Linked DNA regions of Lonchura striata. The protein of the gene in region 1 interacts with the protein of each later gene in a pairwise test. Links are inferred from orthologs where the notes say so. Each region holds a gene or a part of one and is shown on either strand. Other genes may lie near its edges. The genes, in order: RINT1, FAM110A, RBM41 and C28H19orf25.

Region 1 (7,785 bases):
TCCCCTCATATTAAAACCACAGTCATTGTATGCCCAGAGAAGATTACATTATTTTTCCCAGCAATCAAAGTGAGCCTGACTGGTCTCTAATTCCCTAATTATCTTTCCTGCTCTTTCTGAAGTTGGGTGCAGCACTTGTTTTCCACATTTGTCTGGGACATCCCTAGATCTGCACAATCTCTGAGGTGATAAGAGAAAAACTTCACCATGACATAAGCCAGCCTGTATCTTTGCCCACTACTGGTAGTCCCTCTTTCTTAACCTTGCCTCTAAGGTGGTCAAGGCCAAGGCAAAAGGGGCCTTGAGACCATCAGCCTTATGTCTGTCACTAGACCAGCTGCCCTGTTTAGCACCAGGCCATCACTTTCCTTGTATTCCTTCTGTTGCAGCTGAACTCTTGCTGGTCTTGATGTCATTTGCTGCTTTCAACTGTAGCTGAGCTTTGGCTTTCCTAACACCATTTCTGTGTACCTGGACAATGCTGGTGTAGTCCCTCTTTGTAGCTGCCCCTAGGTTTCACCTGTTCTATGTGTTCTTATAGATTGGGTTAGTCATGAGTTCCATGCACATTTTCCTTAATATTGGATTGAACTGTTCTTGTACTGTCAAATTGTCAACTGATTTCTCTCTGCTGCTTTTTAATGAGAGAGTAATGGGTAGTCTGGCCCTTTTTTTTTCACCATATACCTGAGATTAGTCCTGTGAAGTCTAGAAAATTGGAATGCATGTATGAGATGACATTTAAATGTCAATAAAGTATTTTGTAAATTTTGTTTTCGGCTGAAATTTGATTTGATGTGTTCTTGGCTACTGCCTATGCTAATCAGGGTGTAGAAGTAAACATTTAAACTCTGTGCAGTATTTATCCCATATATGCATATTTAGCATATATGCTAAATTTAAGGGAAGAGAACAATCCATGAAAACAGTCTGCTTAAATTGGTAACACTACTATATTTTCCTCTCTTACAGTTGGTGAGGCCTACAAGGAGATGCTGGTAGCTGACAACCTTGATATCAACAACATGAGGCATAAAATCAGAGATTACTCACTTTCTGGAGCATACAGAAAAATTATCATTCGGCCTCAGAATGTCAATTGGTGAGTTGGAGCATAAAGGAGATTACACTTGCTAGCATAGAGTTTATTTAAATACAAAACAACATGAGACTGATCCATGGAACATCCACACAGACTGAAACATAGGTAGAAAGGAATCTCTCTGCACTTCTCTCATGTTTTTAATGCAGCTGAAGTGGAACTATAGCCTTTTCCTTGGTTCTCTAGTTCTGTGGTGGAGGAGTATCAAGACATCTTAGCTAGTTGTTCACTCCTTGCAAGGACTTGCCTGAACACTTCATAGATAATACTTAGGTTGAAACAATGATAGCTAATATTCAGAATAGGGTTTTTTGTAGTCTTGCTATAAAAAAGTTGGTCTCAAATTATCTATCAATCAGAAAAATTTGTGTCACTTCATCCTACTAAATCACTGTTGTTAGAGATATAGCCTAGTTTTCATATGGCAACTGAGTAAATACCTTTTAAACAGGAAACTGTACAAATGTGCAGGAAAACACTATCACTGATGCATAGAATTAAATATAGAGGATTTAGGAGCACAGAAATACAAATATTTATACTTGAAACATCAGCACTAATTAATATTAAGTTTGTCTACTTCCCAGTTAGTTTTTCAGCCTCATGGTTACATATTGGATTTATGTTAAATGAATGGCAGAAACTGTAGAATATCTTAGCCCATTCAAAGTTTGGATAACTATTGAAAGGCTTCACTTGTGCTAGGTACTCTTAGAGTTGACACCAGTCTTCCCTTAATTTCATGAACTATACTTCTTGTGTAGTTGAAAATTCTGACAGCACACAAGGGCAGGCAGATGAGTTATGCAAAGAAGCTTCTCACTAATTGTTTTTTGACAATCTTCATAAAGCCAAGGCAAATCTTCTACATAAAGCTTTACTCATTATTTTGCCTAATTCAATTTCAGTTGTAAATGCCAAACTGCAATAATAATAATAAAAAAATAATATTGTAATAAATACACATTTATATAAAATGTGTTAACCTAAATAATTTTAAATAATAATAAATTTTATGTATGTTATAAAGGGAAGTTGTTGCATATGATGATCCTAAAATCCCATTATTTACTACGGATTTGGATAAACTGGAAGGAAAACCATTACCAGTACTCCCTACAGGTAAGTTGATTTTTCTGCTGGTTTGCTAAATGGGAAGTTTGATCTGGCTGTTGCTTTCAATTGCTGCATAGTCAAATCTCCTTTAAGGAAGAGCTTTCACTTAAATATTGACTGTTAAGTGGTGGTAACAACAGGACAGGCATCTAAATAAGGACCCCGATTTCTCAAGGGTGAAAGCCATTCCTCCAGCATCTGTATTGACTGCTACATTTTCTTACAGACATCTGTAAAATCAAGTAAATGCCTAGCAGTAAATGTCTGCAACTAACAAAGGTGGAATTAAGTCACAAATTGTCTATATACTGAGCTTGTATTATTGATGCTGAACACAGATGACTGAAATACTTAACTCTGGTCATAAGGTGTTTTGACACTGCTTTCCAGAAAAGCGAAGACAGGCTAGGAATTGAGTCTGAAAGAATTAATATTTGCTTTTAGAAGAAGAAAACTCTGAAACCACCACTTTGTCCTGAGAGAAAATGTTAAATTGTTTCATTAAAATTTTCACTTGGATTATAAACAGGAATGCGATGGTGGTGGTTGCTTTGCTTTATGGGCTGGGAAAGTTGGTTGTGGAAACTGTTAGTTCAGTTTAGATGGCATCCAGAATAAGCATTATATATGCCCTTAACCACTTGTTCTTGTTTTTTGTCTCTTACACCTGCTGATAGATGGCAAATTCAGGGCACTAAAGATGGAGTTCTCCCTTCCCCCATCCACTTACGCGACCATGGCGATTCGAGAAGTTTTGAAAATGGACACAAGCATAAAAAACCAGACACAACTGAATACTACCTGGTTGCGCTGAGTGAACTGCACAATTATTTGATTTTAACAATGTTTTTCTTATTTACATGTTCTGTACAAATCTTTAAAGAGTCACAGTAAAAAATTTGTATTTTTTTAAGTTTTTTTAGTGCTAGCATTTAACTTCAGTAGTCCTTTGAAAGATGGTGACTGTAATATAATAAGGATTTTAGTGACTGGTGCTTTTTACTGAATGAGTAACTTGAGGTGTATCTTTAGAATTGTGCTTATAATGGCATCAGACCTGGAAGAATGTTTAGCTTGCTTTCTTTGGGCAAGCACTGAATGTTTTCAGGAGTTCAGCTGCCCGTGAAGTCTTTTCAAATACAATGAATTACACGGGGAGAGATGAATTACAATAAAATTAAGATACTGATGAACATATGTATTGCTGGAGTTTTGCTAGTAGCATTTGCACTGATGCAGTAGCAGATTCTTTTAGCAAGGCTTTTATGTGCTGTAAAGCTGCACAGCTCTTTTAAATATGTCCGACTTTTCATTGAGAAAACACTTGTATTTTCCAGCTAATACCTGTACCAAAGAACAGGTACTACAAATAAACTAACCTGAAACTCTGAGCGTGTATCAGTGAGCGCTTCCTTTGCGCCTGTCGCTTGTTGGCGGGGAATGCCTTGCTGTTGGGGGAAAAAAATCCTGTGGGAGCTTTCTAAAGAGACGTGGCCTTTTCAGCCAAGCGTTGCTAGTCCTGTCGCCGGCCGTGGCAGAGGCGGCGGGGGAGGCCAAGAGGTGTGAGGCCGTGTCCCAGGAGCGCGGGGCGGGACAGCCCCGGGCCGGCGGGACAGCCCCGGGCCGGCGGGACAGCCTCAGGCCGGCGGGACAGCCCCGGGCCGGCGGGACAGCCCCGGGCCGGCGGGACAGCCTTGGGCCGGTGGGACAGCCCCGGGCCGGCGGAACAGCCTTGGGCCGGTGGGACAGGCCCCGGGCCGGCGGGTCAGCCCCGGGCCGGGCCGTGTCCCGGGAGCGCGGGGCAGAACAGCCCCGGGCCGGTGGGACAGCCTCGGGCGGGCGGGACAGCCCCGGGCCGGCGGAACAGCCTCGGGCCGGGCCGTGTCCCGGGAGCGCGGGGCAGAACAGCCCCGGGCCGGCGGGACAGCCCCGGGCCGGCGGGACAGCCTCAGGCCGGCGGGACAGCCCCGGGCCGGCGGGACAGCCTCGGGCCGGCGGGACAGCCCCGGGCCGGCGGGACAGCCCCGGGCCGGCGGGACAGCCTCGGGCCGGCGGGACAGCCTCGGGCCGGGCCGTGTCCCGGGAGCGCGGGCCGGGAGCGCCGCGGGGCTCCCGGGAGCGGCGCCGCGCCTGCGCCCCGCGCTCCGCCGGCCGCGGCGCCGCTGACGCGGCGGGGGCGGTGCCGCGGCCGCGGGCGGCTGAGGGCTCCGGGCGGCGGCTGAGGGCTCCGGGCGCCGGCTGAGGGCTCCGGGCGCCGGCTGAGGGCTCCGGGCGGCGGCTGAGGGCTCCGGGCGCCGGCTGAGGGTTCCGGGCGGCGGCTGAGGGCTCCGGGCGGCGGCTGAGGGCTCCGGGCGCCGGCTGAGGGCTCCGGGCGGCGGTGACGGCTCCGGGCGGCGGCTGAGGGCTCCGGGCGGCGGCTGAGGGCTCCGGGCGGCGGTGACGGCTCCGGGCGGCGGCCCCGCGGCGCTCCCGGCCCGGCAGGGAAGCGGCGGCCGTGGCGGCGGAGGAAGGGCTCGCCGAGCGGCGCTGGGCTGAGGGGCTGCCCGGCCGCCCGGCCCGGGCCGCGGGCGGCGGCGCTCCGCTCGCAGCCTGCCGGAGCCCGCGGAGCCTGCAGCCGGCCCTTGGCAGGGCCCGGCCGCTGGCCGAGGTGGGTGCTGGGCCGCGGGGCTGAGCGGGCAGCTGCTGGGAGGGATGCGCCGGAGTCCTGTTCCTGCCTTGTGTAACCAGAGCCTTCCCACTAAGTATGAAAGGAGCACCATTTGGTTGTTTTTTTTCCTGCCGTTTAGTATTTACATTGCTGCAAACAGGAGTATTACTGCTCTGTTTTCTTTATTCGATTATTCTTCTGCAGCACCCTTGGTCGCCCAGTTTGTTCTTCCTGGTGCTCTCTATTGTCTCTGCAACTCTGGCTCATCAGCTGCGCCGCTTCCTCGCTCCTGTTGTCAGTTTAGTAGGGGTTTTAATTAAAGCTTGTAGCAGATGAAGTGCAAGTGTATCGGTTTTTATTTTTAAATACTCTTTTGAAAGTGACGCGGATAAATTGAGGATTGATCTGGCCAAACAGTTGTCACTGTTGCCTTTTCTGTTTCACTGTGGACATCCTCTCAATGTTGGGTTTCTCTGAATGCTGCCAAATGTGTGGATCAGCAAATACCTTTTAAGTTATACTGTGTGGGTTTTTTGGGCTAAAACTTCACTGATGTATTTACTTTCCAAATTATTATAAGGCCCACATGGATACTTTGCTAGTAATGCAGTAGACATGTGTTGGAATCTCTAAAATTTCCTAAACTTGTGAAAAGGGAAAGTGGAACCTTAGCTTCCTTTTTATTTTACAAATTTTTTTGTAGTTTTTATTAAGTTTTCTATATTATATATGTAGGAACTACATATTTCTTGAACTATTTTTAATAGAATTTGTGCTTTTGGTGAAGGAAGAAATTATCAGATGTATTTATCTTTAGTAGTTAATATATAATAAATCACCAGTTGGTTATGTCAGCAAGGTTTTATCAGACCTCAGACTTAAGCCAGTAAATTGTCTCACTTAAAGCAGTATAATTAATGAATATGGTATTTCAGTCTCAGTTTAAATTGAACTGCCCAGCTTTTCATGGAGTTTTGTTCCTCAGTAGATAATATTTGTTTGTGCTGTCTTAGTGTCAGCTAACTAGAAATTGTATACTCAGTATTGCAGAGAAAGAAAACATGGCAAGCATTGCTGTTAGAAAGAAAGAAGTCACTAGAGATCTAGACCACTGTGATATCCCATACTATGTTTCTGAATTTGTGGAAAGAGAACTTGGAAGTGACTATGATTCCCTGGGGAAACTAGACAGCCTGATTGAAAAGCTATCTGAAAACAAAAAGCACTTAGAAGAACAGGTAAGCATCTTTCTGTTTCTTTTCTTTTTTTCTTCTGAACATGCTGTATGACTGATTGAGAATATGAAACTAAATGAAATGTACCAGTATCTCAAATAGTACTGCTCTACACAGTGCAGTGGATTTGTGTCTGCATTGATGCATCTCTGTCAATGCAGGTACTTACAGTTTCGTCAGAAGTCCCTAAAAGAATTCAGAAAGCCTTAAAGAATGCAGAAGATTCCAAAAAGTCTCTGAGTCAGCTTCTGGAGGAGGAAACTGTTCTGTCTGAGTCCATCAGTAGCCACTTGCTGAAAGCTCAGCCATGGATGGAGGATCTCGATGTGCTGATAGGTCAGGTAGAAGAGATCGAGCGACACCTGGCCTACCTCGAGTGGATTTCTCGCATAGAAGAGCTCAGGTAGTTTCTGAGTAGTGGGTATGTTCTGAGACTGGTGACCTGGTTTATTATTAAAATATTTTAAATTCAAAAAAGTTTTGTCTTTACTTTTCAATATACAAGTTATTCTTTTCTGTTGTCATTAATGAATATTTGGCCTTGTCTTTTTTTGTGTTTTATAGTGATAGCATTCAGCAATATCTGCTGACCAACAATGTTCCAGAGGCAGCCAGTACTCTAGCATTCATGGCAGAATTGGATATTAAACTTCAGGAGTCATCTTGTTCTCATCTTCTTGCTTTTGTGAGATCCACTGTTAAATTTTGGCATAAAATCCTTAAGGACAAATTGACAAGGTAAGAGAGATACTGTGACTCTCTCATCTTTATGTTGTACTGTCAGTTGATGTCCTGGTGATTATTTTGTGTTGCAGTGACTTTGAGGAGGTGCTGGCACAGCTCCGCTGGCCCTTTGTGGGGCCACCTCAGTCCCAGGCATTTGGCCTTGCTGCACCAGCCAATGCTCCTGAGGTGTACAACAGCTTGGAGATGCTGTTCTGTCAGCTTCTGAAACTGCAAACCTCGTATCCTTTTAAATCCTTGCAGTGAATTTTAGCAAAAATAAAAACTGTTAGAGATGTACATTCTCAAGGAGAATTATTTAAAATTTTATTCTCCCTAAAGACAGAATATAATTTATATTACTTTGTATTAACAGTAGAATGTTGTGGGGATTTGGTTTTTTTTTTTTTTTTTGGGTGGGTTTTTTATTTGTTTGTTTGTTTGTTTTGGCATTTATAAAATGCCAAGTGCCAAAGTTGTCCTTTTTGTCAGTACCAACATTTTAACTCCAAGTCATCAGATCCAGTGCTCTCATGGTAGCTGACAGTTCAGGTTGCATGAGAATGTGGCCTTACACTGTTTGGAACCATTACCCATGCATGTTAATGAAAAAATGGTGATGTGTGTTTTATGAGACACAGTTAATGCTTTTCCTTTTAAAGCCTTTTGTGAAATAAGATTTAACTACTTTAATATGTCCTGTCCCAGAAGGAAAAAAAGGGAAAACTAAACATACCTGTCTTGGAAGGAGAGTTTACAAAAAGGGGAGACTGCAGGAGGATTTCTGTTGTGCAGCAATCATAAGTCTGCCTTTGAGGTTGCTCAGAGGGCACTGCAGCTTATTCTGTCCCTGATTTTTATGAATTAAATAATTCACAAAAAATCAGTTAAAACTCAAGTTTAACTAAGCCTTTGTGTGTGTGTGACTGTGGCTGATGTTTTTCTTTTTTTTTTTTAATCAC
Region 2 (6,443 bases), on another chromosome or scaffold:
TCCCCCTCACACCTCAAAGCACCAGGCTTTTCTTCAGCAATAAGATGGGACCACCAGGATGTGGCCACCACCCCAGGCAGTGGGACCCCTTCCGTGGAGGCTGCTCCTTCACCAGTGCAGTGTCCCAGCTTCGTGCAGGGGGAACCAGCCCCTTGCACCCCACCCCAGGGTGCTGGTGAGGAGCAGGACAGGCAGGAGCTGCCAGCAGTGCAGGCAGGGCAGCCACACGAGGCCCTGTGGGTGTTGAGGACCAGCCACACACCCAGGGGGACACGTGTCCTCTGCCTTCCCACGAGCTTGCAGGGACCTGGCACAGTGGTGGCACAGGGGTCTGACAATGGATCCCTGGCCACATCAGGCCAGTGATGCTGTGGCACAGCAGGGCTGAGTTCAAGGGTCCTGTCACCACCAAAAGGTCCCTGCTCCTCGCAGGGCACAGCCAGCGCTTTGTCCCCATCCAGCGTTGCCCACTTATGAGCGGCCCATCCCCGGTGCCCACCACGGCACTGCTACACATCGGAGACCTGCTGGGGCTCCCTGGCCTGGCGCAGCCCGTAGAGCCACTTGATGACACGGGCGTTGCGCTCGATGATGGAGATGCCGTAGGGCACACGCTCCGCCGGCCGCCCCTCCGGCGTGGCGGCGCTGGGTGGCGAGTGGCCGCCCTCCGAGCTGGCCGTGCTCACGCTGTGGAACTTGAGGGACACGATGTCAGAGCTGGCGCGGGCGAAGCGCTCAGCCCCCATGTCCTGCATCTCCTCGGGGTCAAGGCCGCAGTAGTTGAAGAAGCGCTCCAGGTCGGCGGTGGCCCTCGAGAGCCGATCGCTCAGGTCCGACTTGGAGCGGTGCAGCAGCGGCTGCCGGCGGGCGCTCTCCGGGCGGGCGGGTGAGCTCCGGGACGGGGTCACAGGCAGCCCACCTGGGATGGGGGATGCAGGCAGAGGTGTCACTGGGCTCCGCGGAGCTCCACAGGGACGGACGTCCACCCTCCGCACGGCCACACTGCCGGGGGGCTTGGTGGTGGCCGGGCTCTCCGGTGGCTTGACAGCCCCCTCCACCTCTGGCGCTTCCGCCCGCCACCTGCACTCCCTGCCCAGCGGGCTCTCCGCCTTAGGGAAGGGGCTGTCGCAGAGGTTGATGAGGTTGTTGAGGATCTCCAGGTCAAGGGAGGTCTTCGGGCTGGCAGCATCGGCGCGGCGTGGCCCCGGGGGTGCCCTGCGGCTGGGGGTGAGCACAGCCCGGCGCACCCCGGCGGTGAAGAGGGGCTGCTTGAGCAGCAGCGGCTTCACCGGCTCCTGCTTGGTGCTGGCGACCTTCTGGCTCTTCACGTACTTGGCCTTGTCGGCCTCCAGCCTCTCCACTGCGCTGGGCTTCCCGGCCCCCGGCTCGGCGTGCCGGCGGAAATACGCGGGCCCTTTGCGGAGGATACGGACGGGCATGGCCGAGGTGAAAGGCGCCGTCACCGTCACCCCCTTCATGGTGTCACCGGCTTGCAGCGCCTCGACGGGCATCCTCCGTGCCGCCACCGGGACACTCGTGAGCGGCCGCCACGGGCAGCGAGGGGCTCAGGTGCCGTGGGCTGCGGAGCGAGAGCGGGGCCGGAGTGAGAGCGGCGGCGATGCTGCCCCTGCCCGCGCCCCGGCCCCGCGGCAGACAAAGACAGCCCGGGCCGTGCGGTACCGCACTCGCTGCGCCCCCGGCTCCAGGCTGCCTATTTGAAGGCGGTCACCACGCCTCCGCCGCTGCCGAGCCTCCCCGACAAGTGCCGCGGCCAATCCGCGCCGCACGCCTGCTTCAAACCGCACCGGGCCAATGGCGCCGGCGGGGAGGGCGCCCCGGTGCCGGCGAGGGGCACCCTGCGGAGACAGTGGCGCGGAGAGAGCCAAGAACCCCTCACTGATGCTCTGCCCAAGTCGCAGGTGCCGGGGGTGCATTGCATGTGCCCATCGTCCATGCTCAGGGGCGCACTGCTCACATCCAGGGGGGCAAGTCCTTCTCCCAGGAGTGCATCGCCCACTCCCAGGGGGCGATTGCACCCAAGGGTGCCTCATCTACATCCTTGCATCACCCGTGCCCAGGGCTGCGTTGCCTGCTCCCAGGCGTGCATCCCCCATGCCCATGGCTCCATCACCCACCACCCCGCCGGGCTGGTGGGCTCGATGCTCCACTCCCCTCTGCTGTTCCCTCAGCTCTCGCAAGCTCCGCGGCTGCTCCCAGGCTCCCTGCTCTCATCCTGAAACTCCTTGGAAAGTAAGTGGAGTGCACGGGGCTTTCCACTCGTGCTTCCCCGGCCGCGGTGTGCTCGGGGCAGCGTGAGGCCCTGTGCACCCCGTGTCCTTGGGTCCCTGCCAGCCCCAACAAGCGCAGCCGCCACAACGGCCGCACAGAGGCACCAGCCCGCCCACAGCAAAAAGGTGGGGGAGGGCACCCAAACCAGCCCCACACCCTTCTGCAGCCCCCTGACCAGAGGTGGACACACCAAGAGTATCCCCGATACCCAGAGGGGCTCAGCAGTGGCAGGGCACACAGGAGCATATGTGGGTCAGACCCCCTCCCCCAACCCCTTTCCAAGCTGCTCTGAGATTCCTCCTGAGGGTCCCGATTTGGGGCACCGATGAGCCCGAGGGTGTGGCAGCAAGCCCCAGCACTCACCAGGTGCAGTGGTGGGCAGGGCAGAGCCGGTGTGCTGTGGCCTCACTCGCTCCCGTAGGAGCGCCAAGCAGGCAGCTGCCACCTTCACCCGCTCAACCTGCGTGCACAAACTTCCTGGGAGCAGCTCAGAGCCTATCCCAGCAGCAGGAGCAGCCCAGAGCCTCTCCCAGCAGCACCCAAAGCCCTGCCGAGCCGTGGCTGTCTGCATCCCCTACCAGCCCACGGGTGCCAAATTCCCCAGAATCTGGACCCCAGCAGGATCCCTGCACAGCACACATCCCTGTGACACGCTGTGACAGACGAGTGGCCATGGGGGAGGCTGGCTGCCCCTCTCCCCATTCTCGTCCCCTGCCTTGGGGGGACATGCTGCCTCCTGACCTGGAAAATGTCTGCAGGGGGGCGGCCAGGCGTGTGACAGCTGGGAATGGTCCCAGCACCGGCACAGATCCTCCTGCCTCCTCCCCGGGGCAGCTTTCTGCACCCCTCTGCCCTACCCCTCAGGTCCCGTGCTGCTCCACCCCTGTGCCAGCTTCACTGCCCTTGTACCTGTGCCCAGCACAGGGAGGGCTCCCCGGTTCAGCACAGGGGTGCAAGAGTGTCCCCCAGGCAAGGCAAAGCAGGAAAATGTCCACACGTCAGGCACTGGAGATCAGCCTTGTACCAGACACTCAGCCAAGCCACAGAGGAGGTGGCTGTGAAGTTTAGGGACAAGGTCATGGGAGCCCCAGCACAGCTGCCAGTGGCCGGTGTGGGGACCCCTCCCCAGCACGGCCAGCCCGGCCGGGCACAACCTGCTGCTCCACATTCCTGCAGTGCTGAGCCACTGCGCTGGCACGGCCACACCGAGCTGGGCTGCACCGAGCCAAGCTGAGCCGAGCGGAGCCGCCCTCCCAACAGCCCCAAAAACTCGGCAACAAACAAATCCCATGCCCCAAACCCAGCTGGAGTGCGGGGATCTGAGCTCTGGGCATTGCCCAGTGTGGCCCCAGCTCCTCTCCCTCCTGGGGTGGGCAGTCCAGCCAGGCTCACATGGCACACCAGGCCACCTCCTGCCTGGAGGAGCTGCTCCAGAGGTGCACGGTTATGACCCCTTCACCGGCTCACCCAGCCCCACTCTGCTGGCACTGGACCAGCACGAGACCATCACCCCCTCTGCCACCCACCTGGATTGGCCCTGCAGCGCGGGAGCCTCGTTGGCAAGGATCAGCTGCCACACTTCTTCTCCCTGCTCTTTCCGAGGATGTCCTGATGGTGTCCTGATGTCCCCAGCCTCCTGCTCCCCAGCCACGTCCTGCCCGTCTCCCCGCGTGCTGGCGGCTGCAGGGTGCCGGAGCGGTTCTGCGTGCGGCGGCTGCCGCTGAGTCAGCACCGGGCGAGGACGCCCTCGGAGGCAACTCAGCGCTCACATGGGATGGAAACCACAGGGCATTCCTGTGTGCCAGGCTGTGCCACGCAGCGTGCGGTGTCTGGTGACCTCCCAGGTGCCGGTTCAGTCCGCGGTGCCGGCTGGGCAGCCTGGATACACACACGGCCCGAGATGCTCACAGTGACAAATCCAAAATGCTTCTGGATGTCACAGCTCGCTGTGGGCAGAGGGTCCTTGTGCTGGGTTAGGGCTTCAGGGACACGGGGGAAATTCCCAGCCTTCCTGTGGGCACCCAGATTCCCTCATATCAGTGGTATGGTCAGTTGGCAGGGCCTGCTTTGATTTGGAAATCTCATCTTGTTTCTCCACTCACCCAGCAGCAATAAACTCCAAAACATAGGAAAATAAACTGGGTAGCAGGAAGGGAAGTGACAGACTGGAACAGGGTCACCAAGCCTGCAGCCACCTGGACCTGCTGGCCTGAACCCAGCCCCACGGTGGCTCCTGCCCTATGGTTCAGGCATCTGCATTCAGCTCTGCACAGAGGGAACAAGCTTTTGGCTCATGCTGTGGAGCTCAGTTACAGCCCTGCATTGTTCAAATGGCTCCTGGAGCAAGACAAGGAGCTGGTGGAGGGAGAAGAGCCAAGGGAAGCTCAGAGTCTGCCCTGAGCCCAGATTTGCACAACGGGCTCAGCTAGAAAATCCCAGTTGGTAGGCAAGGGCAGAGCCCGCAGGCTGCGTCCCCCCACAGGCGCCGAGGCTGTGCGGGTGCAGGCAGGAGGCTGCAGGAGCTGCTCGGGCACGTCTGGCCCGTTGGAGCGGGGCGTTGGATCCAGGCAGCGACCCAAGCCTCGCCCTCCCCGGGAGCATCCCGGGACATGCCCCGGGAGGACAGCCTCCTGCAGGAATGCTCCTGCAGCACCCGGTGCAGCATCCGCACCGCTGCCCAGGAACACATGGACGGTGTTTGTGAGCAGAGGGACAATGAGGCACTGGCAGTGCCTTTGCTCTCACCTTCTACAGACACCCTCGTGCCACTGCCAGGACCTCTTGGATGGTAAATTAAGCTGCCAATGAGCAGAAAACAAACTCAGCACCCAATTTCCCACGTGGAAGTGCTGGGTGGAGGCAGCTAAGGGCGCCTGGCAACACCTGCCAAGCTGCAGGGCTAGGGCTCGTCACTTTGCATGGGCAAAGGCATCCCCAGAGCTGAGAGATCCCCAGCCTCTTCATCTTGGGTGCTTTATTGCAGCCTGTTGCCATGCCCTGACCCAGGATAAGCCACCACTTGCTCCTCCCTCAGTTTCCCCAGCAAGAGCTCTACAGAGCTACTCTAGAAGGAACATGGGGACAGAATGGGGAAGCACCCGCTGCACCCAGCATCACCCCATTCCCTGTGGGCAGAGGGAATGATGCTGCCCGCACCCGGATGTTCACACTCCGTCTCTGCTCAGGGATCTGGGAGCCAGGGAGGTGACAGATGGGGACATGCTGGGCACAAGGCCTTTGTCTGGCCGGTGGTGGCAGCGGCACAGACCCGCAGATGGCGGCTGCCGTGGGGCCGTGGCCGCAGCCCATGGCCAGGCAAGCACTGGGCCCTGGGGATCCGGCCCTTTTGTTGAGGTCTCACCTCCGGCAGCAGCCCCTTCCCTGCTGCCCCCACCAGCCTTTCCACTTTCAACTTGACCTGCTCCTTTCACATGGAAATGGATGCAAATAGGGCTGAGGCTGCCAGGGTCCAGGCTGAGACCCGGCAGCAGGTCCCCAAGTCTGGGGGGGTCATACCCTCTCAAATAGGGTGGCCAGTAGTCCCTGGAGTGAGGGGGTCCCCTTGTCCCCCCATGGAGTAGCAGCCACCCTCTGCCCAGGCAGACCATCCCCACTGCTCACACATGGAAGAAGATATTAGGGGATGGGTCTCACTAGGGCTGAGCTCAAGGACAGACCTCTGCTTTTCTGGGCTGCCAATCTTCCCGTGCCCTCCTGCCACCCTGTTACTCCCATGGCGTGGGCAGTGTGCCCACCCCGGGGATCCGCTCTGCACCCCCTGGCATGCGCTGGCTTGCAGTTGGGATGGGCTCCCCAGCCCTGGCTGGGTGAGGAGGGGGCTTCCTGGAGGGATGGTCATCACAGCCCAGCCAAGTCCCGCAGGCAGGGACCACTCGGCTACCAAATGTTGCCATCTGCTCCGGGGCCTTCGCTCGCATCTGCCGGGGGTGCGGAGGGGCGAGGGGCCGGGGGGCCGGGAGTTCAGCTGGGGGGCGGGCAGGGGGCGGGGAAGGCACAGGCAGCACGCATCGCGTGGATTTGGGTGAGTAGCATGAAGGGGCAACACGGAGGTCCCACACCCAGCACCCCGTCGAGCTGCCTCTGCCCTGTAGCCATTCACCCTTGGGAAGGGTCTCACTGCCGGCTGAGCCGCC
Region 3 (7,256 bases), on another chromosome or scaffold:
TCTGGAGGAGTCTGTGAAGGAGCAGAGCGGGACCATCTACCTGCAGCACGCAGATGAGGAACGGGAGAGGACGTGAGGCACAAACCTGTGGGGATGGGGGCCGAGCACTGGCCTGTGCCCACAGCCCTCAGCAGGAGTGGAGCTGGGATGGGTGTCAGGATTAACAATCAGTGCCTACCGTCAGATATTTATTCCTGGTTTATGCACGGCAACTTTAGATTTTACTCAGAGTCCTCCACTCTCTTGCTGGTCTGTCTCCATGTGTAGCTCAAGGGAGACAGAGCTTGGGAGTCCCCTCATGTGGGTGCTGGAGCCTCCCTGGGTGCAGCTCCCAGTCTCTGCCAGCCTGGGCTGCAGCTGTGGCAGCTGATGCTGATGGCCCACAGCTGGTGTGACTGTGAGCAGGCCCTCCAAGTTGGCTTTGACCATTCTGATCTTGGTTCCTGTGTGCTCTGCAGCTACAAACTGGCTGAAAACATCGATGCTCAGCTGAAGCGCATGGCACAAGATCTGAAGGACATTATTGATCACTTGAATACATCAGGAGGCCCAGCAGACTCGAGTGACCCGGTAAATGCAAGCTTTTATTTTATGTTGCTGAAGAGGCAAATGATATTGAAATAATTCTAACTCTTAATTTGTCCCCATGTGGATATTCCACTTATACTTTTTCTTCATACTATTTTTATATCCTCATAAAACAAGATCTGTATAACCAGCTCCTGATATCTTTTAAATTGATTTTGATGCTCCTTAGGGCTTTGCCCAGAAGCTTTTTTCTGCAAAAATTTCCTTTTAGTATTTTAGACTGAGTTTACCCACATTCATTTTGAATTTTGCCACCTTAAGCCTAAGGTTATGAATATTCTGCTGGTTCCTAGGTCTTAAATTAAGATAAGCCAAAGTCACAGACATGTTATCTAAACTGTTCAGTTTTCTTGCTGCTATGGAATAGCCAAGTAGCAGTGTTGCTGCACACACTTCCCTGGCTTAAGTGGCTGCTCTCTTGGGAAAGGCATAACTTTGCCTTTGACTCCTCCTGGTGTTTATGCCGTCTCGCAACTAACTTGCACCTTCTCTCTCTGCTCAGCTTCAGCAGATCTGTAAAATTCTGAATGCACACATGGATTCCCTGCAGTGGATTGACCAGAATTCAGGTGAGATTTGTCCTGCAGCCTTTTGGCAGTGTGAGTGGGAAGCAGGAGCTGTGTGTGAGTGTTCATCCCTGAATTCCTGAGGATGCCTGAGGAATCTTCCTCCTCAGCCTTCAGTGGCATTGTCCCTTCTGACATCTGCTTGAATTCTGCTGCTGTGCCTGATGAGAGGCCTCTGCTGGGAAGTTACTCCTGACAACTGGTATTTTTACCCAGAAAGCCCTCCTTGAATTGCGTCAGTACAAAGCAGAGAACTTGAAAACCTTATTCATTCTGTCAAACTAATGTTAAATAGTTCAGCTTCTAAAGATTGTGTGGTTTCTCTGTGGTGCAGGAAAATTGGTGAGGGAAATGTGTGTGTGTTGAGTGTTACTATCCCTCCCAGTCTGAAAACAGGAAGTCACATCCAGATAAGATGGAGCAGCCTGCCTTGATCTGCAGGTGGGGTAACTGCAGGAATAGTATGGGAATTTCACAACCTCCAAAGCTTGAGTTCCATTGCACACAGAGATGCACTCAGGAATAGGCACTTGACAGTGGAGTCATACTAAAACAAGACAGAAAAAAGGAAGTTTTCCCTCTGGAAGAGTGCCTCCTGGTGAGGGATTCTGGAATTTTGTGCCGTTTGGATTTTAACTGGTAGCAGCCACACGGGGGCACGGCAGAATAAAGCAGCTCTCCTCTCAGAGCCCCAGAGCCTAGTTACAGTGCTGTGAAATGCTCACACCTGGGGTAACAACTTGCGTGAAAGCAGACCTGCTCTTCTTCATGTTGGCTTAGGTCAGGGTCTAATTCGGTGTTTTCTTTCAGAACACTCCTGCTAAGCTTCCCATTCTAAACATGCCTTTTTCAGCAAATCTGGTACAGCTCCTGTGCAACCTGAATTTACATAATGTGTGTAAAAATAGCTATCTGTTTGCTTTAAACTTTCCTAGAAAGGAGACAAATTTTTTCTTTTGCCATTAAATAACGAAAACATTGTCTTATTGGTAGTACTTTGGGTTGTGTTTTCCTCCTGCTTTATCCACTGACAAATCTGAGTGACTGTCAGCAAGGAATTATTTTTCTTTCTGCAGGCAAAACTGTGCAGGGTTGTGTTCTGGGGTGACTGTGACATTTAATCCCTTGTTTCTGCCACAGCTGTGCTACAGAGGAAGGTGGAAGAGGTGACCAAGGTTTGTGAGAGTCGCCGCAAGGAGCAGGAGCGCAGCTTTCGGATCACCTTTGATTGAGACATTCCCAAGTTCAAAGGATGAACATAAAACCTCCACAGAAAACAGAGGTGTTTGGGAGCTGAGGACTGAAACAATGACCTGGTTTTATTTCTTTTTTTACAATAAAATGTGCTGTTTGTTCAAAGCCAGTCTTTGTGGTGTTGGACTGGATTTCACGTGCTCCTATCAGAAACTGGATGAAGTCTGCAGGAAGTGTGTACTCCTTGTGCTTTAGCTGTGCCTGCAGACTGGTGAGGTAACAGAAATGCTGTCTTGGAGGACTCCTGCGTGCTTTTGCAGGAGGAGGCTGCAGAGGTGGCTTATGTGAGAAGCTCCAGAAGCTTCCACCATGTCCAGCAGGGCCAGTCCCTGGTGGCTCCAAATGATGGACAGAGTTGCTGGCCAGGGCTGGGCCAGTTAGATATGGTGGTAATGACTCTGTGAAACAGCTTTTTAAGAAGAAATAAATACAAATTTGATGCTCAGTTGTAATTGCAGCCAGAGAAGAGAGGGGTGAAAATCTGTGAGGGGAACAGCTCTGCAGACACCAAGGTTAGTGAAGGAGGGAGGGAAAAAGGTGTTCCAGGTGCTGGGGCTGAGATTGCTCTGCAGCCTGTGGTGAGGACCATGGTGAAGCAGCTGTGCTCCTGCAGCCCATGGAGGAGCCCCATGCCAGAGCAGGGGCATGCCTGACAGGAGGCTGAGCCTGTGGCTGAGGTGCCCTGCTCCCAGGCTGGAGCAGCCTGTCCTGGAAGGACTCTGTGGCAGAGTGCCCCACACTGCAGCAGTCTGAGGGGGCTGTTGCCCATGGGATGGACTTCTCACATCAGAGAAGTTCAGAGAACTGTCTCCCATGGGGAGGACCCCACAGTGCAGCAGGGGAAATACTGCTGTCCCTGAGCACCAGGAAAACCAGGGGTGACAAACTGACCATAACCCCCATTCCCATCTCTCTATGAACTGATAATAAGCCCCATTCCTGTGTCTCTATGAACTGCTCATGACCCCCGTTCCCATCTCCCTATGAACTGACCATAACCCTGATTCCTGTCTCCCTTTGAACTGACCATAACCCCAATTCCTGTCTCCCTTTGAACTGACCATAACCCCAATTCCTGTCTCCCTTTGAACTGACCATAACCCCCGTTCCTGTGTCTCTATGAACTGACCATAACCCCCATCTCCGTATGAACTGACCATAGCCCCATTCCCGTCTCCCTGCGCTGCTGGGGTACGAGGGACGGGTAGGCGAAGGTGTTTCTAAGGGCTGATTTTACTTCCCATTACCCCGCTGTGCTTCAGTTATCAAAAAACTCCGTTCCCATCTCCGCCTTAAGCCCTTTGCCCGTGACGACACTCGACGCGAGATCCCTTCCGGTCCGTGTCTCAAGCCGCGAATTCTGCGCTAAGTGTCGTGCGTTCGGCCGCGGAGGGGAGCGGCTGTCCCCGGGGCGCCGGGCACACCGTGCGGCTCTGCCGGGCGGGGCAGCGCTGCGGGCAGCGCTCGGCTCGGCTCGGCTCGGCTCGGCTCGGCTCGGCTCGGCTCGGCTCCTCCCGGGGCGGCTCCCGGCGGGCGCTGCCGGGGCCCGGCGTGCGGAGCGGCGGGGCCATGCGCCGGTGAGCGGGGCAGGAGCGGGGCGGCCCGGCCCCGCTGCGGCGGTGCGGGAGCGCCTGCGGTGGAGGATCTGGGGTCTGGCTGCTCCGCGCAGCACGGACCCCGGAAAGGGAAAAGCGCTGCTGGAATTCACCGTTTCTCCTCGGCGTCGCGGTTTCACTTTCCTCCCTGTCTCATTTGGAGCTGGCAGTGTCTGCTGTGGAAAATGCGTGTTTTATGATTGGCTTTTCGCAAATTAATGTTATATGTATAATGTTAGAAAGTTATGGTGTATTAATTCTCTTAAGGACTCTGTTAAATATAGTTTTAGGTTACAACATAATGTTGAAATAGAAATCTGTGATGTAGGATTTTTTTACTAGCTCAAGCAAGACATGAGGTAATCAAAAAGCTCTTCACACAGAGGTGACAGTGACTTGGGGCCCATGAAGAGCTACTGCCTCCTTATCAGAAAAGACAGTCTTCCACCTTCTCTCCATCTTTATGGAACCACCGGGATTAAGGGGAAGAAGTTGACAAAAAACAGAAAAGTTCTTAATTTGCAAGGAATTTATGCATCATGTAGGATATATATGAATATGCAACAGGCTATTGCATTTAAGGTTATTCCTTTGTTCACAAAGTATGCTTTTTGTGACTTAAGTGTCCAAGAGCATCCATAATTCTTTGCTTTATATTGTTTTGTTATGGTCCTAACTCTAAACTTTATTTCTCTAATTGTGTTACTATTTTTATAACCATTTTATTATTATTAAACACTTAAAATTTTAAAAACCAAATAATGGGTGTTTTTCACACTGGCTAGATGCTGATGCAAGACGATTTCGGTCAATAAAAATTATGGCGTGTGATTTTAAAGTAAACAAACAACCCCCACACCAATATAAAAACACCCAGAGGCTCCTTGGGGTACTTTTATGTTCTCCAAGGAATCCCAAATTTGTTGACTTTTCTAGTAATGTTAAAGGGAGCTGTGGTCAAGTAGTTTTGGTTTCTTGTTTTTTTAAAATCCCATAAAACCAGCGCAAGAGGTGGAGGAGCTGTAGCAAGGATGTGTTTTGAGCAGTGTTTCCTCTATTGCCTGACTGCCCATGCCTGTGCTGTGGTTGTGTGCCCCAGGGTGAACAGCAGCCTGTCCAGTGATGAGCTTCTCCTGGAAGACTTGGAGACAGAAGGAGAGAGGCAGCTGAAGAGCCTCCTTCACCAGCAGCTTGACACCACTGTCTCCATCGAGCAGTAAGTGTGGTCTGGCCCAGGTGTGGTCTGAGCAGCCCCTTGCTGTCCCCAGTTCCTCAGTGCTGAGCTGTCTGTGCTGGCGTGTTCCTTTGGCTCACAGGTGCAAGTCAAAACGGAGATGCTTTGCTCCTGCAGCTTTTTACAAACCTTTCGGAGAAGAGGCTGCGGGGGCTTTGACCCTGCCACAGTTCCAGGCCCTGCAGGAGAGTGACAGAGAAACCTCGTCTCTCCGGGAGCTGGGGCTCTCCGACTCGGAGATCCTGCTCTGGAAGAACCGGGACTCGGCAAGGAAGGTGGGCATGCTCTGCTCTCACCTGAGCGTGGTCAGGTTCCTCTAACCCCGTGGCTCTCTGGTAGAAAATTCCAGTCCTTTGTAAGCCTTTGGTAAAGAATGGCCTCTCCTTGTATCCCTTGCCTTTAGCCCAGCACTATCCTACATTTCTTCTGGCCTCTTTTCTTTGGTGGAATGGTCAATGTTAAAAGATATGGTGGAGACAGGAGTGGGTCCTTTGGAACACAGCAGGATGTGAGGGTATTCCTGCCTTTGCCTTGATCTCAAATAAATCATTTCACCTCTTTATACCTGTGTATGAAGGATTTAAAGGCCAGAAGAGAAGGAGAAAATATTTCAAAGCATCTCAAATCCTCCTTTGAGTATCCTGATAAATCCCTGGATCCCATTGCTGATTTGGGATGGCTGTTTGTAGGGGGTGTTCTCCTTAGGGGCTTGCATGTCCTTCAGGGGCTCTGGGACAGCCACATGAAAATAGTGCAGAGCTGTCAGACCACTGTGTGGTCTGTGCCACCACCACTGTGTGGTGGCAGTGCCTTGGTGCCTCCTTGGATGCTCTTCCAGCAGGTTTCTCCCCTTCCCCCACTTTCACCCTTTTTTTTCACATTCCAGAGTCAAGAGGCTTTTGTGGTTGTCTGTATCAGGTGCATTGGAGTGTCCTGCTCTTAATCTGCCAAACTAGAAAATGCAAAACAGGAGTTGGGCTGATCCTTGGCTTCCTTTTGTCTCCTGTTCCTGAGTGATAGCTGTGTGCAGGAGAGTTGTCTGTGGAGAGTTGTCTGTGGTCATCAGTGCTTTGCCTCTTTTCAGCTGAAATCATTCCTTGCTTTGGTATTTAAATGGAAATCCAACCGTGGTGTGGCCTGATTAAAGCTTGGTGCAGAGAGGAGTGGTGTTAATTTAAGAATGAAAATCAATGTCGTCAGTACTAGCTGTTATATTTAGTATGAAATGTATTCTGGGATGTTCAGGAATAATTACTTGTATGGAAAACACTACTCTGACAGAAAATAAGGCTGACATCAGGGTATGTCTTCTACAGAAGAAGACATATTTATAACAGAAGAGAAGAATATAAGAGAAAAATATTTAGGGAGAAAGCCTAAGTCAGTCAAAGCCTATGCAGCTTTGGAGGTGGAGGCCCTGAGTGAAAGATTCCATCATGAGTGATGAATAATGTCAGCTGAAACAGAGAGAACTTCAGATTGCCTGGGGAGCTCTTGGCAAAGTACTGAGTGCGGATTTCTGTTATTTTCAGCTGCTAAGTGGCAGCTTTTTTGAAAACAAAGTACAACAAATGATTTCCGGGAATTGCTTTTCCGTATAAACAGCCTTTTGTGCCTCAGGGAAGCTGTGAAATGGTGAATGGAAGAAGCTGTGCAGATGTGGGGCAGAGGTACCATGGGAAACTCTGTTAGGCTGTGCTCAGTGCAGGGAGAAAGCCTTGTTTCTTGCCTGAGGCAGAAGGATCTGCCACAGGAATTCTCAAACTCAATTTGAGAACAGAAAATCCACCCACAGCCCCATCAAAGTGTGTTCTGTGTCCTGATGGAGGTGGATGGGGGAGCAGAAGTGCCCTTTCAGCAGCTGGGCTGTGTCTGTGTGCTTTGGCAGCATGAAGTGTTGGTGCAGGGAGGTTTGTGTACCCAGGGATGCTCCTTGCTCACAGCTGAGCTGCGGGGGCTGTGCTGCAGCTCCTCTGTGGTTTCTGGAAGCTGGCTCAGTGATGCTGGTTGGGGTTTAGT
Region 4 (6,883 bases), on another chromosome or scaffold:
TGCCGGACTCACTTCTCACGCAGGCAGTGCGCGGCTGTCAGCGCCCAGCGCCGGTGCAGCAGCGCTGCCCCGCAGGAGCGATTCCCCTCGAGCTGGAGGAGCACCATGTAGGGCCGGGAGTGCTTTTTGGCCTCGTGTCCCCCGATGATCGAGGGCTGGAGCCGGGTCCCGTCCCCACCGGCACCAGCCACCGCCCCGGCCGGTGCGTCCGAGCCCACGCCGGCCCCACCGGCCCCACCGGGCCGGGGCTCAGCCCACGGGAGGGGCGGCAGCAGCAGCAGCAGCAGCGGCCCCAGGCTCGGCCCCATCCCGCCCGTTCCGCGGCTCCCGGTGCAGCCGAGCTGGACGAGCCGCGGGTGACAGCGGAGCAGGGCAGGAAGGGGAAGAAGCACCCACAAGGTCGCGCCTGGGAGGGTGGGACACACCCGCACACCATCCCCCGCCCCCAGACAGAAAGCGGCACGTTCAGCTCCCAAAAATGGGGGTTGATGAGATTTAGGACAGCCCACGGTGCTGCGTGATGCATTGCCAGCACCTTTATTAGCAAAACAGGGCAGTTTTCCACACCGTGGGGCGGTGCTGGCCGCCGAGCCGGCCCCGGCGGTGCCTCAGTTCGTGCCCCCGGGCGGGACCCGCCGGTGCCCGCTCCTCGGGCGGGCCCTCAGGCTGGCCAGCAGCCGCTGGAAGAAGAACTCGTTCTGGTATTCCAGCGGGACGAGGTGCTGCAGGAACGCGGGCACCTCGGCTCTGGTCACCCCCACGCACACGGGGACCACCCTGGGGCCGCGCTGGTGGATACTGCGGAACAGGTTCCACTGGGACACGCGCTGGCACCACCGGTCGCCCACGGACTTGGCCGAGAGCAGCAGGATGGCCACCCGGCTGGCCTCGATGGCCTCCATGGCCGACAGGATGACGGATGTCCCGGCCACTTGGTCCTGGTGCTCGGTGAAGCCCCGAAATCCCTCCTCCCTCAGGCGCCCTGCGATGCGGGAGGCGACGTGGTCATCCTCGGGGACGTACCAGAGGGAAAAGTCGTAGAGAGCAGAGGACGTGCCACCCACGGGGGACGTGGCAGCCGGCTCAGGGGCAGAAGGAGGGGTGCAAGCCTTCATCCCAACACCAAGAAGGTGCCGCCGTGCTGGCAGAGCTCCCTGGCAAGAGGTCACTGGGATGGCACAGCCGGGGCTGCCCCGGCAAACCCGGATCCTCGCGATGCAAACGGTTTTGGGAAGGTGAAACCACGGCGTGGGGTGTCCCGAGGCGCCCAGCAGGCTTCCTCAGAACGCTTTGTGCCTCATCTCGGCGATGCCGCGGTCCAGCTCCTCCCCGACCCTCTGCAGCTCCCGGCGCCGCTCCCGCAGCTGCTCCCGGGATTGCTGCAGCCGCTGGTTCATGGCCACGTAGGAGCGGATCTGCCGGTACAGCCGCTCCCGCTCCGCGGGCTCGGGGCAGCCTGGCGGGCAGGGCCGGGGCTCAGCGGGGCTCGGGGGGTCCCCGCGGCCGCCCCTTGCCCAGCGGGGGCTCACCTGGAGCGGGGCCGGGCTCCTGGGGGGGCTCGGCGGGGAGGACGAACACGGGGTCGGAGGGGTGCGAGCCCTGCACGTCGGCCAGGATCTGCTCCGCGCTGGGGGGCTCAGGGCGGGTGAGCAGCACCCGCTTGGCCCTGGAGCTCATCCCGGGGGAGGCTCATGGGGGAGACGCTGCGGAGCGGGGAGGTGAGGGTGCGGCGGTGCCCCCACCCCCGGACGGACAGACAGACGGACAGACGGACACCTCCCCTTTTCTGTCCCCCCAAGGCGGACAGACCCCCTTATCCTGCTGTTTGGACAGACAGACGGACCAGAGCCCCCTCACTGTAACCCCGGAAGGACAAACAGAACCCCCCCAAACCTTCCCCTCCGGACAGACGGACAGACAGACAGACAAGCAGACAGACAGACACCTCCCCTTTTCTGTCCCCCCAAGACGGACAGACCCCCTGTGCTGCCCTTTGGACAGACAGACGGAGCAGAGCCCCCTCACTGTAACCCTGGAAGGACAAACAGAACCCCCCCAAACCTTCCCCTCCGGACAGACAGACAGACAGACACCAAACCTGCCTCCCAACAGACACACAGATCCCTTCTGCTGCCCCCCCCCCCCCAGACAGACTCACTCCCTTCCCCCCAGACGGACAGAGTCCCCCACCCCGCCCTTTGGACGGACAGACAGACGGATAGACCCCTCCTTGCCCCCGCCCCCGGACAGACAGACAGACAGACAGGCAGACAGACAGACAGGCAGAGCCCCACCCCCGCACGGACAAACCGGCCCCCTCCGCCCCCCGGACACACCGTCAGAGCCCCCCCGGTCCCCCCAGCGGACAGACCGACCCCCGGGAGCGCAGACGGACGGACACACGGACAGACGGACGGACCCCGGCCGCACTTCCGCCACGCCCCGTGACGTCACTGAGACAGCCCCGCCCCCTGCCCTAAGCCCCGCCCCCTGCCGCTCTTAAAGGCGCCGCGCGGGGTCACGGAACGCGCGGGACGGGAGCGGCGCTCGGTGGGCACCGGGGTTTATTGGGGGGCTGGGGGACAACGGACTCGGACTGGAGAAATTCGGGATCCCGGGCTGGCCGGTACCGGTAACAGGGCCATGCTGCCGGTACCCGTACCGGGGAACTTCGGTGCCGGAACGGAGGATGACGGTACCAGTACCGGGAGTATGGTGCCGGTACCGGCGTCTGTAGTGCCGGTAGGGGGGACTTCGGTGCCAGAATGGAGGATGCCGGTACCAGTACAGGGAGCACGGTGTCGGTACCGGGGAACTTCGGTGCCAGAACGGAGGATGCCGGTACCAATACCGGGAGTATGGTGCCGGTACCGGCATCTGTATGGGGAACTTCGGTGCCAGAACGGAGGATGCCGGTACCAATACCGGGAGCACGGTGCCGGTACCGGGGAACTTCGGTGCCAGAACGGAGGATGCCGGTACCAGTACTGGGAGCACGGTGCCGGTACTGGGGCCGCTGGTGCCGGTACTGATGCCCGTACCGGCGCTGTAGTGCCGGTACCAATGGCCCCGGTGCCCCTCTCACTTCGCCTTCTGCACTAACTCTGTCAGGTTCAGGGGTGCTTTGATGCCTGCGGAGACACGGCTGGCGTTAGTGCCCGGCCCCGGGGCAGTGCCCGGTGTCCTGGGGCACTGCCCGGCCCCGCGTCACCGTCCCGCTCCCTCCCCGTCCCGCTGGGCACGGCGGTGACAGCCGGTCCCGCCGCGGAGCCCCGGGCGAGCAGCAGCGCTGGGGGAACCGCGGGCACGGGGATGGACAGACGGATGGACACGCGGATGGACGCACGGACGGGCTCTGGCTACGGAGAAGCGGGAGGGGAGCGCCTGCCCTACGCACGCCACGGGAGAACGGGCCGGTTGTGCGGGAACAGAGCGGGTTTTGGGCGGTGCCACGGCGGACACGGGACCCGGCCCGGGCCCCGCTCGGTACCTACGGGCAGGCTGGGCTGCGGGGCCACCCCGGCCGCCAGCCGGGCTCTGCTCTTGGCCAGAGTCTGCAGGACTGGACCGCGCAGCGCAGAGAGGAGAGAGAGGTTAGACAGGGCACCGTGACCCCCGGGGCTCCCGGCACGGGGCTGGGCCCACGGGCACCAGAAGGGATCAATCCCCCGCCGGTAATTAACGAGCTCGCTGGGAAAACCGGGACACGGAGCAGGAGGGAGGGAGGGACCGGGTGGGCCACCGGAGTTACCTTCTCGGGTGACGCTGGAGGCGGCGTCCAGAGCCTTGGTGCCGATGTCACCCATCATGTTGTCCACGGCGCGGTGGTGCTTGAGGAAGAAGGGCCGGATGATGCTGTGGTAGATGAGCTGGGAGCCGTTCCAGGGCACTGGGGCCATGCACCACACCAGGAACAGGCACTGCGGGCACAGCAGGGGCTCAGTGGCTCCGGGGCCACCCAGCAGCACCCAAAGCTGGAGCTCACTGGAGTCCCCCGGGATCTGAGCTGGCTGCGGCCCCTCTGACGCCTCAAATTCCAGTTTTCACATATTCCAGGTTCTGTACTGCATTAGTTTATAACTCTGGGCTTCATAGCCAGTTCTCACAGCTCAGGCCCACAGTCCTTTTCCAGCCCCAGAACCAAGGATGCTGCTGCAGCTTCAGGCCAAAAAGCATCGACAGCAGCAAATTTAGGAGAGCAAACTTGGGAGCGTGGGACTGCATAACCCAGAGCTGGAATTGGACAATTAAGCTCAAAATGGACCAAAACTTAGAAAGTGTGAAAACCCATGACCCGGCGGGTCCATCCTGGGTGTAGCCACGGCCGGGCTCTCACACTGCCCAAGGTGTATCCTGCGAAAGATTTTTAATAAATCCCCACTTTATTCCTTTAACACCATCTAGCCTCTGTTTCAGGGAGCCTCTTTGGACACCTGTTGGGAAGGATGAATAAATATAATTGCCTGGCAAAAGATTTACGATAATACGGCCAGGATGAAAACAATCCTCCTTACATTGGACAATACCCTTACCTACAGATAAGTCCAAAAGTCAAATGGATTATTCCATTTCAACCCCCAAAATGTACAGTTCACCCCACACCTGAAACATCAGGTGTCTGTGACCCCATTGGCCTAAATCTTGTTCCAGCCCACCTTGAAGCCCCCTGATAAGGGGTCTCTGAGGGGCCAGAGGCTCTCTTGGATCTTCCCCCCTCTTGGAACTCCCCCCATCTCCTGGAGCATCCTCTTGTCTCTCTCCTCTCCCATCCCCTCAGGCCTTGCCACGTGCTAAGTCACTAACAGCCCATACTGACTGATTGCACAACTCTTCATGATGATTCCATTGCAGCTCATTAATATTTTGCAAATAGCTATATTATAATTTTGGTTTGTTTTCTTGCTTCTTTATTTTACCAGGAACTGAAACTGCATTCATTTTTTTTTTTTTCCCCCACAGGCTTTTTCTTCATGCCTTCCAAAACCAGAAATTTTATTTGTCCTTTTCCAAACCTCTAAAACCCCAAGTACTATTCATGAGTTTTCCAAAGTAACCTCTCACTTTTTGGGACTTGCTTCATCTTGCACTCTAAGGAGCTTTGGATAAATGTTAGATACTTTTGAATTGAATGAATCAGTCTTCTTGAATACTCTCTGACCTGTACTTTTGCTAAGTCTGCAAAATACTTCTGGTTATCATTCTTTTTGGTTGACTGTATTGATAATGTGAGCGATGCCGCCGTGGCACGGCCGTTACCTTCCCGGCGTAGTAGAAGGGGAACCAGTAGAGGAAGAGGTCGGAGAAGAACTCGGCGATGCTGAAGACGCCGTAGACCACCCAGTAGGTGAGCCACATGGTGTCATCCTCCTTGCTGTTGCTCTCGATGGCTTTGATGCTGAGGAAGGACAAGGAAGGAAACAAGGAAGGAAACAAGGAAGGAAAGAATGAAACAAGGAAACAAGGAAGGAAACAAGGAAAGAAGGAAGGAAACAAGGGAACAATGTAAGAAACAAGGAAAGAAGGAAACAAGGAAGGAATGAAACAAGGAAACAAGGAAGGAAACAAGGAAGGAAGAAAACAAGGAAAGAAGGAAGGAAGCAAGGAAGGAAACAAGGAAGGAAGGAATGAATCAAGGAAAGAAGGAAGGAATCAACGAAACAAGGAAGAAAGGAAGGAAGAAAACAAGGAAGGAAGGAAGGAAGGAATCAAGGAAACAAGGAAACAAGGAAGGAAGGAAAGAAAGAAGGAAGGAAGGAAGGAAACAAGGAAACAAGGAAGGAAGGAAGCAAGGAAGGAAAGAAGGAAGGAAACAAGGAAACAAGGAAGGAAGCAAGGAAGGAAGGAAACAAGGAAGGAAGGAAGGAAGGAAACAAGGAAAGAAACAAGGAAGGAAGGACACGGCTGCTGCAGTCCCGGGCTGGGCTCCACCTTCCCAAACCCCCCAGCCCGGAGGGAACCTGCCCACTGGCTGCTCTGGGCTGGCACGGTCCCAGCCTCTCCAGGAAGGTCTCAAGAGCTTCCCAGCAATAATCGCCTCCTGGCTGAGCAGGGAGAGCTCAGCGAAGGGCAGGGCACGCTCTGCAGGTGCGGCACAGGTACTTACGAGAGGTAGGCGGGGTAGACGAAGCCGATGACATTGCAGAGCAGGGAAGCGCCGTAGCCGAACATGAGGTACAGCCCCAGGAAAGCCAGGGAGCCTGCGGGGCACAGGGGATGCTCGGGAGCCTGCTGCCACCGGGGGAGACCCCGCTCGGTCTCCTGAGCGGGATTCTCATCCCAGAGCAGGCACGGGCGTGTGCCAGGGGGTGAAAGCCACGCCGGGTTAATTCCACGTCGCGGAGGTGCTGGATGGAACGAGGCACGGGGGAGGCTGCTCCTCCCCGAGGGAGCCGCGACCCCCTCCCCTGGCTGGGATGGGGCTGGGATGGGGCTGGGATGGGGCTGGGATGGGGCTGCGATGGGGCTGGGATGGGGCTGGGATGGGATTGGGATGGGGCTGGGATGGGGCTGGGATGGGGCTGCGATGGGGCTGGGATGGGATTGGGATGGGGCTGGGATGGGGCTGGGATGGGGCTGCGATGGGGCTGGGATGGGATTGGGATGGGGCTGGGATGGGGCTGGGATGGGGGTGGGATGGGGCTGGGATGGGATTGGGATGGGATTGGGATGGGACTGGGATGGGGCTGGGATGGGGGTGGGATGGGGCTGGGATGGGGCTGGGATAGGATTGGGATGGGGCTGCGATGGGATTGGGCTGGGATGGGGCTGGGATGGGGCTGGGATGGGGCTGCGATGGGGCTGGGATGGGGCTGGGATGGGATTGGGATGGGATTGGGATGGAGCTGGGATGGGGCTGGGATGGGATTGGGATGGGATTGGGATG

The links.
Region 2: the proteins of RINT1 (region 1) and FAM110A interact in binary tests that used the Homo sapiens proteins (3 or more experiments, as listed by UniProt). The two-hybrid records come from large-scale screens. The link is inferred for Lonchura striata from reciprocal best matches to the Homo sapiens genes RINT1 and FAM110A.
Region 3: the proteins of RINT1 (region 1) and RBM41 interact in binary tests that used the Homo sapiens proteins (3 or more experiments, as listed by UniProt). The two-hybrid records come from large-scale screens. The link is inferred for Lonchura striata from reciprocal best matches to the Homo sapiens genes RINT1 and RBM41.
Region 4: the proteins of RINT1 (region 1) and C28H19orf25 interact in binary tests that used the Homo sapiens proteins (3 or more experiments, as listed by UniProt). The link is inferred for Lonchura striata from reciprocal best matches to the Homo sapiens genes RINT1 and C19orf25.

Annotation. Positions count from the first base shown.
Region 1 is NC_134607.1:59,931,814-59,939,598, reverse strand, and holds the start of RINT1 (RAD50-interacting protein 1), read left to right. Parts: upstream 1-4,776; 5' UTR 4,777-4,865; intron 4,866-5,907; 5' UTR 5,908-5,926; coding exon 5,927-6,103; intron 6,104-6,261; coding exon 6,262-6,503; intron 6,504-6,664; coding exon 6,665-6,838; intron 6,839-6,915; coding exon 6,916-7,065; intron 7,066-7,785. Other genes in the region: PUS7 (pseudouridylate synthase 7 homolog), read left to right, coding at 973-1,102, 2,133-2,224, 2,896-3,032. UniProt on the Homo sapiens protein: Involved in regulation of membrane traffic between the Golgi and the endoplasmic reticulum (ER); the function is proposed to depend on its association in the NRZ complex which is believed to play a role in SNARE assembly at the ER.
Region 2 is NC_134619.1:7,439,801-7,446,243, forward strand, and holds FAM110A (protein FAM110A), read right to left. Parts: upstream 1,512-6,443; coding exon 510-1,511; downstream 1-509.
Region 3 is NC_134616.1:18,475,900-18,483,155, reverse strand, and holds the start of RBM41 (RNA-binding protein 41), read left to right. Parts: upstream 1-4,243; 5' UTR 4,244-5,034; coding exon 5,035-5,219; intron 5,220-5,319; coding exon 5,320-5,512; intron 5,513-7,256. Other genes in the region: nuclear pore glycoprotein p62-like, read left to right, coding at 1-72, 459-570, 1,091-1,157, 2,295-2,386. UniProt on the Homo sapiens protein: May bind RNA.
Region 4 is NC_134630.1:6,186,787-6,193,669, reverse strand, and holds C28H19orf25 (UPF0449 protein C19orf25 homolog), read right to left. Parts: upstream 2,450-6,883; 5' UTR 2,376-2,449; exon of another isoform or gene 2,372-2,375; intron 1,704-2,371; 5' UTR 1,678-1,703; coding exon 1,530-1,677; intron 1,457-1,529; coding exon 1,281-1,456; 3' UTR 522-1,280; downstream 1-521. Other genes in the region: REEP6 (receptor expression-enhancing protein 6), read right to left, coding at 3,082-3,131, 3,752-3,920, 5,257-5,395, 6,104-6,197.